2 linked regions of the Macaca mulatta genome follow. The protein of the gene in region 2 purifies or fractionates together with the protein of the main gene of each other region. This does not show direct contact. Links are inferred from orthologs where the notes say so. Each region holds a gene or a part of one and is shown on either strand. Other genes may lie near its edges.

Evidence for each region.
Region 1: the proteins of PSME3 (region 2) and PSMA4 fractionate together in Homo sapiens (co-fractionation; 3 studies listed by BioGRID, with this or other methods). This does not show direct contact. The link is inferred for Macaca mulatta from reciprocal best matches to the Homo sapiens genes PSME3 and PSMA4.

Annotation. Positions count from the first base shown.
Region 1 is NC_133412.1:56,687,292-56,691,704, forward strand, and holds the start of PSMA4 (proteasome subunit alpha type-4), read left to right. Parts: upstream 1-1,322; 5' UTR 1,323-1,448; intron 1,449-2,803; 5' UTR 2,804-2,826; coding exon 2,827-2,829; intron 2,830-3,075; coding exon 3,076-3,118; intron 3,119-3,384; coding exon 3,385-3,547; intron 3,548-4,413. UniProt on the Homo sapiens protein: Component of the 20S core proteasome complex involved in the proteolytic degradation of most intracellular proteins. This complex plays numerous essential roles within the cell by associating with different regulatory particles.
Region 2 is NC_133421.1:67,183,218-67,187,550, forward strand, and holds the start of PSME3 (proteasome activator complex subunit 3), read left to right. Parts: upstream 1-1,447; 5' UTR 1,448-1,682; coding exon 1,683-1,724; exon of another isoform or gene 1,725-2,231; coding exon of another isoform or gene 2,232-2,306; intron 2,307-2,394; coding exon 2,395-2,427; intron 2,428-2,517; exon of another isoform or gene 2,518-2,551; coding exon 2,552-2,614; intron 2,615-2,808; coding exon 2,809-2,913; intron 2,914-4,333. UniProt on the Homo sapiens protein: Subunit of the 11S REG-gamma (also called PA28-gamma) proteasome regulator, a doughnut-shaped homoheptamer which associates with the proteasome. 11S REG-gamma activates the trypsin-like catalytic subunit of the proteasome but inhibits the chymotrypsin-like and postglutamyl-preferring (PGPH) subunits.

The sequences.
Region 1 (4,413 bases), on a different chromosome or scaffold from region 2:
ATCTTGCCTTGGCTCACTTCCCTGTGTGCTTGGAAAGCAGAGATGATAGGTGAGACCCCAAAATGCAACTTCCAAGCCATCTCCTTTTCAAAGCCCACATCCCCCAATTATTTTGCAACCAACATGAAGAGGACAGAGTTTCTGCCCAATGGGTTGCTTTTTGGGAGAGACTGAGCAGATGACATCATATGAACCCAGATCTAGTCAACCTTCTAGCCTGAAAAAACCTGAAATGAATAGTAGATAGTTTACATAGGGACTGAGGCTGAATGAGCAAAAGGGTGGAGAGATGGATAATGAACACATAAACAAGTATGACAATTTCAGTAAAGAAGATAAAATGGTGCAAGTATATGCTGACAGTAGGGTATTGTTTTAACTACGCTGGTCAGGGTAATCCTTTCTGACTGGTGAAAAGCAGAGAAACACCAAGTGAAAATTCTTCTAAAAGTGTGAACCTGACCATAATTTTTTTTTAATTTTTAGAGCCAGAGTCTGTCTGTCACCCAGGCTGGAGTGCAGTGGCGCGATCACAGCTCACTACAGCCTCAAACACCTAGCCTCAAGCCATCCTCCTGCCACAGCCTCCCAAAGCAGTAGAATTACAAGCGTGAGTCACCATGCCCGACCATCATCATAATTTTTTTTTTTTTTTTGAGACGGAGCCTCACTCTGTTGCCCAGGCTGGAGTGAAGTGGTGCACTCTTGGCTCACTGCAACCTCCGCTTCCTGAGTTCAAGCGATTCTCATGCCTCAGCTTCCTGGGATTACAGGCGTGCACCACACACCCGGGTAATTTTTGTAGTTTTAGTAGAGACGTGGTTTCACCATGTTGGCCAGGCTGGTCCCGAACTCCCGACCTCAGGTGATCCACCCTCCTCGACCTCCCAAAGTGCTGGTGCTGGGATTACAGGCGTGAGCCACCCAGCCTTCCTCATCATAATGTAAATGTCCAAAATGTATACATCAGCAGTAAAAGTGAAAGCCAGAATGAAAAAGGGAGATGATGACAGAGGTAAAGTCTCATGTGATTGGAACCATTTCGGGAAACAGGACAGGAATGGTAGCAATTAAGAAGCCGGTCCACACTATTTGCTATCCTAGGTGTGAATAGTGAAGAGAAAGTGAAAGTAGAGCGCCAAGGGTAAGAGAAGGAAATTAGTTATTCCACCTTCTGGTTGGCTACGGTCTTCCTGCCTTCCTCCCCATGGCGCAGCAACTCCTCCACCTGCTGCAGCGCCCCAGCTCCCACGAGGGCCACGGGTTCTAGCTCCGCCCCACAAGGAGGACTTCCGTGTCCTCGGCCATCCCACTACCCCCTCCCTTAGCGGTTCTGCGCAAGCGCGGGGGCCATATTAGCAGCGGTTATTCGGGCAGCCCTGGTGGTTTATTTTCCCGCGGAGATAAGGGCTCAGTGGACATCTGAAGTCTTCAGGGTCTTCCATCTGGTGAGCCTTTGGCCCCTGGGGGCCCGCGGAAGCATGGCCGCTCTTCCCTTCGGCGGGGGTAGTGAACGTCAAGACAGTCGGTCCCGGCCTGCAGTTGCCGCCGAGGAGCCGTGGGCACGATGACTCTGCACCGCCTCCACGGTGACAGACCAGCCGCCGGGAATGGCCCCCTCCGGCCGCCGTTGGAGGCTTCCGCGTGCCGAGCCTGGACGCCGGGGCCCGGCGAGGGGGCGAGCTGAGGGTGGGGGTCTGTGGGCAGGACCGAGGACTCGGGGCGGCTTCCGTCCCCGGGAGTTCGGTACGTGAAAGTTAGCGCTCCCGGAGGTGCCGGTGAACTCAAAATCGTGCTGTGACCGGCGTCAGGCGTGGAGACCACAGAAAGTTGTGCTTACGCTCGAATCAGAAATCCCCGGCGAGTCTCTCTGTGTCCTACCTGTTTCTCTGCTCTGGGCCATCCTTACTTTGCACCTTCCTATTACCTCAACCAGTTCGCTGCCCTCCGTCTCTCACGAGCCAGAGGGATCATTTAAAATGCTAATCAGTTCTTGTGGGCCTTGGGAATCATTCCGTGGAGCCCCAGTGGCTGAGAGAGAAAATTCTGTTTTTACCTGGGCACGCGGGCTCTCCAGGATTTGATTCCAGCTTACCTTTCCAGTCTTGATTCCCTGTATTCCAGTATTTGGGAATGTGGGCTTTGGACTGAGGCTTTACCAAATAACACTGAGCACCCAGTATTGCCTTTTGCACGAATGGTACTGATGGTGCCCAAGATAACTGCCTCCACCCCCAAGTTCAGGACTCTCTGGAGAAGGCCTAAGTGTCTTAACTTGGCATTCAAGGCTCCGCGGGATTTGGATACTCGCTTAGCTCTTATTTATGTATTTTTAAAAACATCAGCAGTTTGTCTCATGCCCACTAAGCTATCCTGCCTCAGTACCCTTTGTTCATACTTTCTGCTCTGTCTGGAGTGCCCTTCCCTTCTTTCTTCCCCTGTTCTTTCTCTTAGACCCAAGAGTTCTCAGCCTTATTTCTGCCTCTCCCGTCTCTGATTTACTTTCATTTTCTGTATCGGTTTCTCAAAAAATACTTTCTGGATTTTTTTCATCATCCCTTTTCCCATTCTACCCCCGGTTCCTTTTTCTGCATTATAATCTATGACTGCCTCTCTCACCTAACTGCCAGTATTAGCTTTTCAGGACAGGAATTGGTTTTACACATTTTGGTATTCCAGCATCTAGCATAACGCCTGACACTTAGCTGAATAAAGGGAGTAAATAAAACTGATTTGTAAAGTCAGCAAATGCTTTTTAATTTGTGAATCTTATTTTAATGATGATCTGATTTTCTTTTTACAGGAACTATATAAAGTTCAGAAAACATGGTGAGTTAATACATGTGCCAGTAAACTGTTGCCTGATAAATAGTATTGCTTGTACTCAGCTTACAGTCTTGTGTGGGAAAATTGAAATAGAAGGAAAGCAGTGAGATGGTGCCTTTTTTCTTGTCAGTTTCCTCTCATCTGCTGAACTTTGTATACCAGGATAGGTTTTGTAAGGTGATTTGTAGGCTTGCAGGAGTTGGCCTACTTTCAGTGGGTAGGAATCACTCATGTGTTTTTCCTTTGCAGTCTCGAAGATATGACTCCAGGACCACTATATTTTCTCCAGAAGGTAAAATAGAAATTGTTTAATCTGCCTCAAGTTTAAAAAAAAAATGTGTTAGACTTTTAGAAAAAAAAAAATTACAAACTTTTTTTGGTAGTTGCAAAGTTCATCCTTTTTGTACTTCGAAGCAATTATGGTCACCGGGTTGATTATACCATAGAAGAGTAAAAGTGGGAATTTGTTTCTAGCTTGCTTCCTTGCTAATTTCTTTTGGGTCAGTGGTGCAAGAGCATAGAGGAGAGTCTTGGCTTCTCACTGCTTTTGTTTTGTAGGTCGCTTATACCAAGTTGAATATGCCATGGAAGCTATTGGACATGCAGGCACCTGTTTGGGAATTTTAGCAAATGATGGTGTTTTGCTTGCAGCAGAGAGACGCAACATCCACAAGCTTCTCGATGAAGTCTTTTTTTCTGAAAAAATTTATAAACTCAATGAGTAAGTGAGATTTTAGGAAAGAGTTTTAAAAAAAATCTCACTTTCTCACATAAGTGGGATCTATGTAATTTGGGAGGGCTTTTCCGTGTGATGTGGTAGGATTGAAGTTGTACCTTTATTTTGCTTGAAACCTCTTTGAGGCCTGGTACCATGTGTTACTCCTTTTAAGTGCAGGGCAAACACTTAGTAGAGAAACTAGCATTGTGTAGTGGTAAGAGTACAGACATAGTAGTCACACAGATTTGGGTTCAACTCCAGGCTTCCCCCATGCAGGCTATGTGATCTTGCACAAATTATTTAATTTCTTTGGGCCTCAGAGTCTCCTCAAGTGGTTGTGGCAGTTTAATGAAATAAAATGAATGAAATAAAATAGTATAGTGTCAGGCATATAGTAGGCCCTCAAAGTATTGTTTAGAATAGCTATGCAGGATTTTGTTGAATTATACTGAATCTTACTAAAGAACAAGCCTGTTGGAGATCTGGGAAGAATTTAGCCAAGCCTTGTACACGGTGTGAGATGTTGGTTATATTTAGATGTGCAGAACTTTGCAGCTCATGGAGAGCTGGCCATGCTAAGTAGAGACTTTCCCTTCAGTGATGGTAGGCTTGGTAAATGCTGATTATCAGGGCCTTTGGATACACTTGTCCAAAGTGGTGTCACCCCTCCACAGAGCCTCTGTTGGGCTCACCCAACAGCTGGCACACTTGGCTAGGCATAGTCACAGGGTGAGTCTCAGCTATAAGAGAGCCAGGGCAGCCCTCAGGAAATGGTCCAAAAAAAATGAAATGCACCTCGAGTAGGAGCCTAGCCCTGTACTTCCTAAGCAGGCTTGTAAACCCTCCTGCCACTGTCCCCCGTCACCTCC
Region 2 (4,333 bases):
ACTCCATTTAATTGTGTATTCCCCTCATTCTCCTAGCACTTAGTAGAGAGGCCAGTCTAGGATAAATGTTCAACAGCAAGAGCGACCCCAAAATATAAATCTGATGACCTCTTTTTGCACTTAATCTAGATTGTTTACTAACAACCCTCCTCACCCCCAGCTCACCAGTCTTTGTCTTCAAGACAGTCTCTTTCCTTCCCTAGAGCATTTGCTGCACTTATACGTCTCAAGGCTCTTCTCACTCTTTCCATGCTAACCCCTTTATGTCCTTTAGATCGCAGCTTGTCTCTTGTTCAGAGGCCTTCCTTGGCCATTCGATCTAAAATAGATCTCTGGTATTTTCTATGTCATACACTTGTTTCCTAATATTTATCAAATTTTGCAGTTACTTTGTCAGTTTACTTTCTGGTGTTTTTCCAATATTATGCCCCATGAGACCAGCAACCTTGAATCTTGTTTGCCTTTGATTTCCCAGAGCTGTGCTGTTCAATACAGAAGCCAGCAGCCACATGTGGCTACTGAGCACTGTACTGTAAATGTGTTATTTTCTTATTGAGATGTGCAGTTAAGTGTAAAATATGCACTGGATTTTGAAGACTTGGTATGAGAAAAGAATGCATAAGATCTCGATTTTTTAATGTTGATTACATGTTGAAGGACTTGGATAAATTGGGTTAAATATATGACTAAAATTTTCACTTATTTTACTTTTTAATTGTGGCTAATAGAAGATTTCAACCTACATATGTAACTCACATATTTCTAGAATCTGAGACAGTGCCCTGGCCCATTTTATTGAATGAAATATCCAATGTCGAGAGAGAGATCGAATGAATGGGTGTATGAAGAGGTATAGTCTTAAGCTTCCATTAGGCAAATAGATACAGCACTGCCATAGAAGTTAGGAGATCTGGGTCCTGGCTCAGGATGTACTGGAAACGCCTTGGACAAGTCTTGCCCTACTCTGGGCATCAATTTGCCCATTAGGTAGTTGATCTTTGAGGTCCGGAAGCTTACGACAGTCAGTTGGCAGGGAAATGTACCAGGAAAGCTTGGTACAACCGCACTTGTGTTTTTCGCTCTAGCCTAAACACTTGAGCCTCGGCAAACGGGCAGAGGCAGCGGGAATCAGGGACTACACCCCCGAACCCAGTACCCGGGTCCCCGACTTCCCCGAGCCTACGTCACTGGGGCGCGACGGCGCTGTCCCCGGGACTGCAGCGACTGAGGTCCCTTCGGTGAAGGCGAGTTCCGGGCCAACAGAGAGGGTCGCACCGTTTCCGAGTCTTTCGGAGGCTCAGTTCTCAGCGCACCATTCCCCACAGCTCTCCTTTTTACTTCACCCCTACCCAACACTTTACCCCGGGGAGCATCCAAACCCGAGTCTCATCGCGGCTGCGCAGCGCACGTGCACAGCCTCGCAGGAGTCTCGGCGATTGGCTGTGACGCAGTTTCCGGCGTGAGCGGCGAAAGCCGGGAGGGCGAGCGAGAGAGCGACCAGGCAGCAGGCTGCCGGCGGGCGGGCGGACGGCACGGAGGGAGGGAGCAAGCGAGCAGTGAGTGAGCCAGCGAGGGCGGCCGGGTCCCGAGGTCAGCCGAGATTTCTCAGGTCCCTCCGGCCCCCTCCCTGGAGTCCACAGCGCCTCCGGTGTCCAGCGGATCGGACACGGCCCGGCCCGGCCATGGCCTCGTTGCTGAAGGTGGATCAGGAAGTGAAGCTCAAGGTAGCGGCACCGGTCCGGCCTTTTTGCCCCTCGCTTTGATCCCCCAGCAGTCTGACTGGCTTCCTACTCCCCATGTCGTCTTTGTCTCCCTGGGGATACCAGCTCTGAGCTTCCGCTCAACTCAGCCCAGCCCCCAACTCCCGGGGTCGGCTTCGCGGGAGAGGAAAATATAGGATGGCTTTCTGTACCGCGTCTGATGATGGAGAGTCCCGGGGACACCTCCGCGGACACGTGTTGGACTCAGGGCTTTAGGCCAGTGACAGCTGGAAATCCCCCAGCCCAACAACGTCCCTGGACACTGCCTCTGCCCTTGGTGGCTGGCCTGCCTGGTATCATAGGCCAGGTCTGGGTGGGGGTTGGCACGTTTGTGAGCTCACATCTTTCCTAACTACCTGTCTTTTGTCTGCTTATCAAATTCAGACAGCTTCAGACACAGGAGGGAGGGAGGGGAGAGGAGAGAGGAGACAGGCAGGTGCTGCCCTCAAAGCCCTGCTTTCTTCTCCTGAGATGGAAAAATGGATCCTCAAAAAAATAAAGTATTTGCAGTCTGGGGGCCTCTCAGCTTCTTATTACAGTTACAAGGTGAGGGAAAGACAGTTGGATTTGGGATTCTCTATCCTGCTCTTACCTCTGTCTCCAGGTACTGAATTGCTCTCTTTGTTAATTTTAGGTTGATTCTTTCAGGGAACGCATCACAAGTGAGGTGAGTGAAATAAATAGAAAAATGAGTGTTGGTTGAGAGTTTCCCAAAGAGGAGATATCTGTAGAGAGAGAGAGAGAGACCTTCCCACAGATATTAATTCAGCTATATTTTCCCTCCTCCTTAGGCAGAAGACTTGGTGGCAAATTTTTTCCCAAAGAAGTTGTTAGAACTTGATAGTTTTCTGAAGGTGAGAGACCCTTTTCTTTCCTCAAATTCCCCTATTTTTTTGGCCCTGGTATTACTGTCAACTGGAACTAATTGTGTGTTGATTCTTCTTTTTATTTTTTTAAACTGTAAAAGCGCTTTCATTTCTTGCTCTTCAATCAAATACTTCTTTGTTCAGCTTGAAAAGATTAATGTTTTGGGGTGGGTGTCTTTCAGGAACCAATTTTAAACATCCATGACCTAACTCAGATCCACTCTGACATGAATCTCCCAGTCCCTGACCCCATTCTTCTCACCAATAGCCATGATGGACTGGATGGTGTAAGTGTCCTATATTTATCTTTGTGTTCTTGAGCAGTAGGTCCTCTGTCCTCTGTTTCCTTGTCAGTTTAAGATGTACAGAGGCAACAGTGGGATTTGGATCTGGGAACTAGGACTGTTACAGACATGATGACTCTAGTATAGTTGTTTTATTTCTTATTTATTTATTTATTTTTGAGAAAGGGCGTCACTTTTTTTTGCCCAAGCTGGAGTGTAGTGGCGTGAGCACTGCTCACTGCAGCCTGGACCTCCCAAACTTAAGTGACCCTCCCTCCTCAGCCCGCCAAGTAGCTGATACTACAGGAGTGTGCCACCATGCCCAGCTGATTTTTGTATTTTTTGTAGAGACAGGGTTTCACCATGTTGCCGAGGCTGGTCTCAAACCACTGAGCTCAAGTAATCCACCCGCCTCAGCCTCCCAAAATGCTGGGATTACAGGCGTGAGTCACTGCACGAGGCCTCCGGTATATTCCTTTTAGACCCTGAGTTTCATTTACGATGTGAAGTGAATGTGCTAATGCTACTCTCAGTGTTAGAGTGAGTTTCAAATAAAAGAGAACTAGCTTTGGCCAGGCGCGGTGGCTCACACCTGTAATCCCAGCACTTTGGGAGACTCAGGTGGTTGGATCACGAGGTCAGGAGATGGAGACCATCCTTGCTAACATGGTGAAACCCCATCTCTACTAAAAATACAAAAAATTAGCTGGGCGTGGTTGTGGGCGCCTGTAGTCCCAGCTACTCGGGAGGCTGAGGCAGGAGAGTGGCATGAACCCAGGAGGCGGAGCTTATAGTGAGCCGAGATAATGACACTGCACTCCAGCCTGGGCAACAGAGCGAGACTCTGTCTCAAAAAAAAAAAAAAAAAAGGAGAGAACTAGCTTCATCAGGTTACCTGGTTTTTCCCATGGTTCTGAACAAGACTTAACTTTGTTTCTGTGTCTTGATAAGTGTTATGGGATATGAAGTTCTTGCTGTGTAACTGCAATCGCTGTTTTGCTGTACATCTTTAACAGCTAGTCCTTATCAGTCATGTGTCCGCATGCTACTATAACACTGATGATACTGAATTGTTGTCTGTAGTACCGCCTCATTGACAGAACTTGTACGTCTGGAAGGCAAGAACTACCTTTTTTTTTTTTTTTTTTTTTTTGAGACAGTCTCACTCTGTTTCCTAGGCTGGGGTGCAGTTGCGCGATCTCAGCTTCCTGCAACCTCCCCCTCCCGGTTTCAAGTGATTCTCCCACCTCAGCCTCCATGTAGCTGAGATTACAGATGCGCGCCACCAAGCCCAGCCAATTTTTAAATTTTTAGTGGAGACAGGGTTTCACCATGTTGTCCAGACTGATCTCGAACTCCTGACCTCAGGTGATCCACCCGCCTCAGCCTCCCAAAGTGCTGGGATTACAGGCGTGAGCCACCG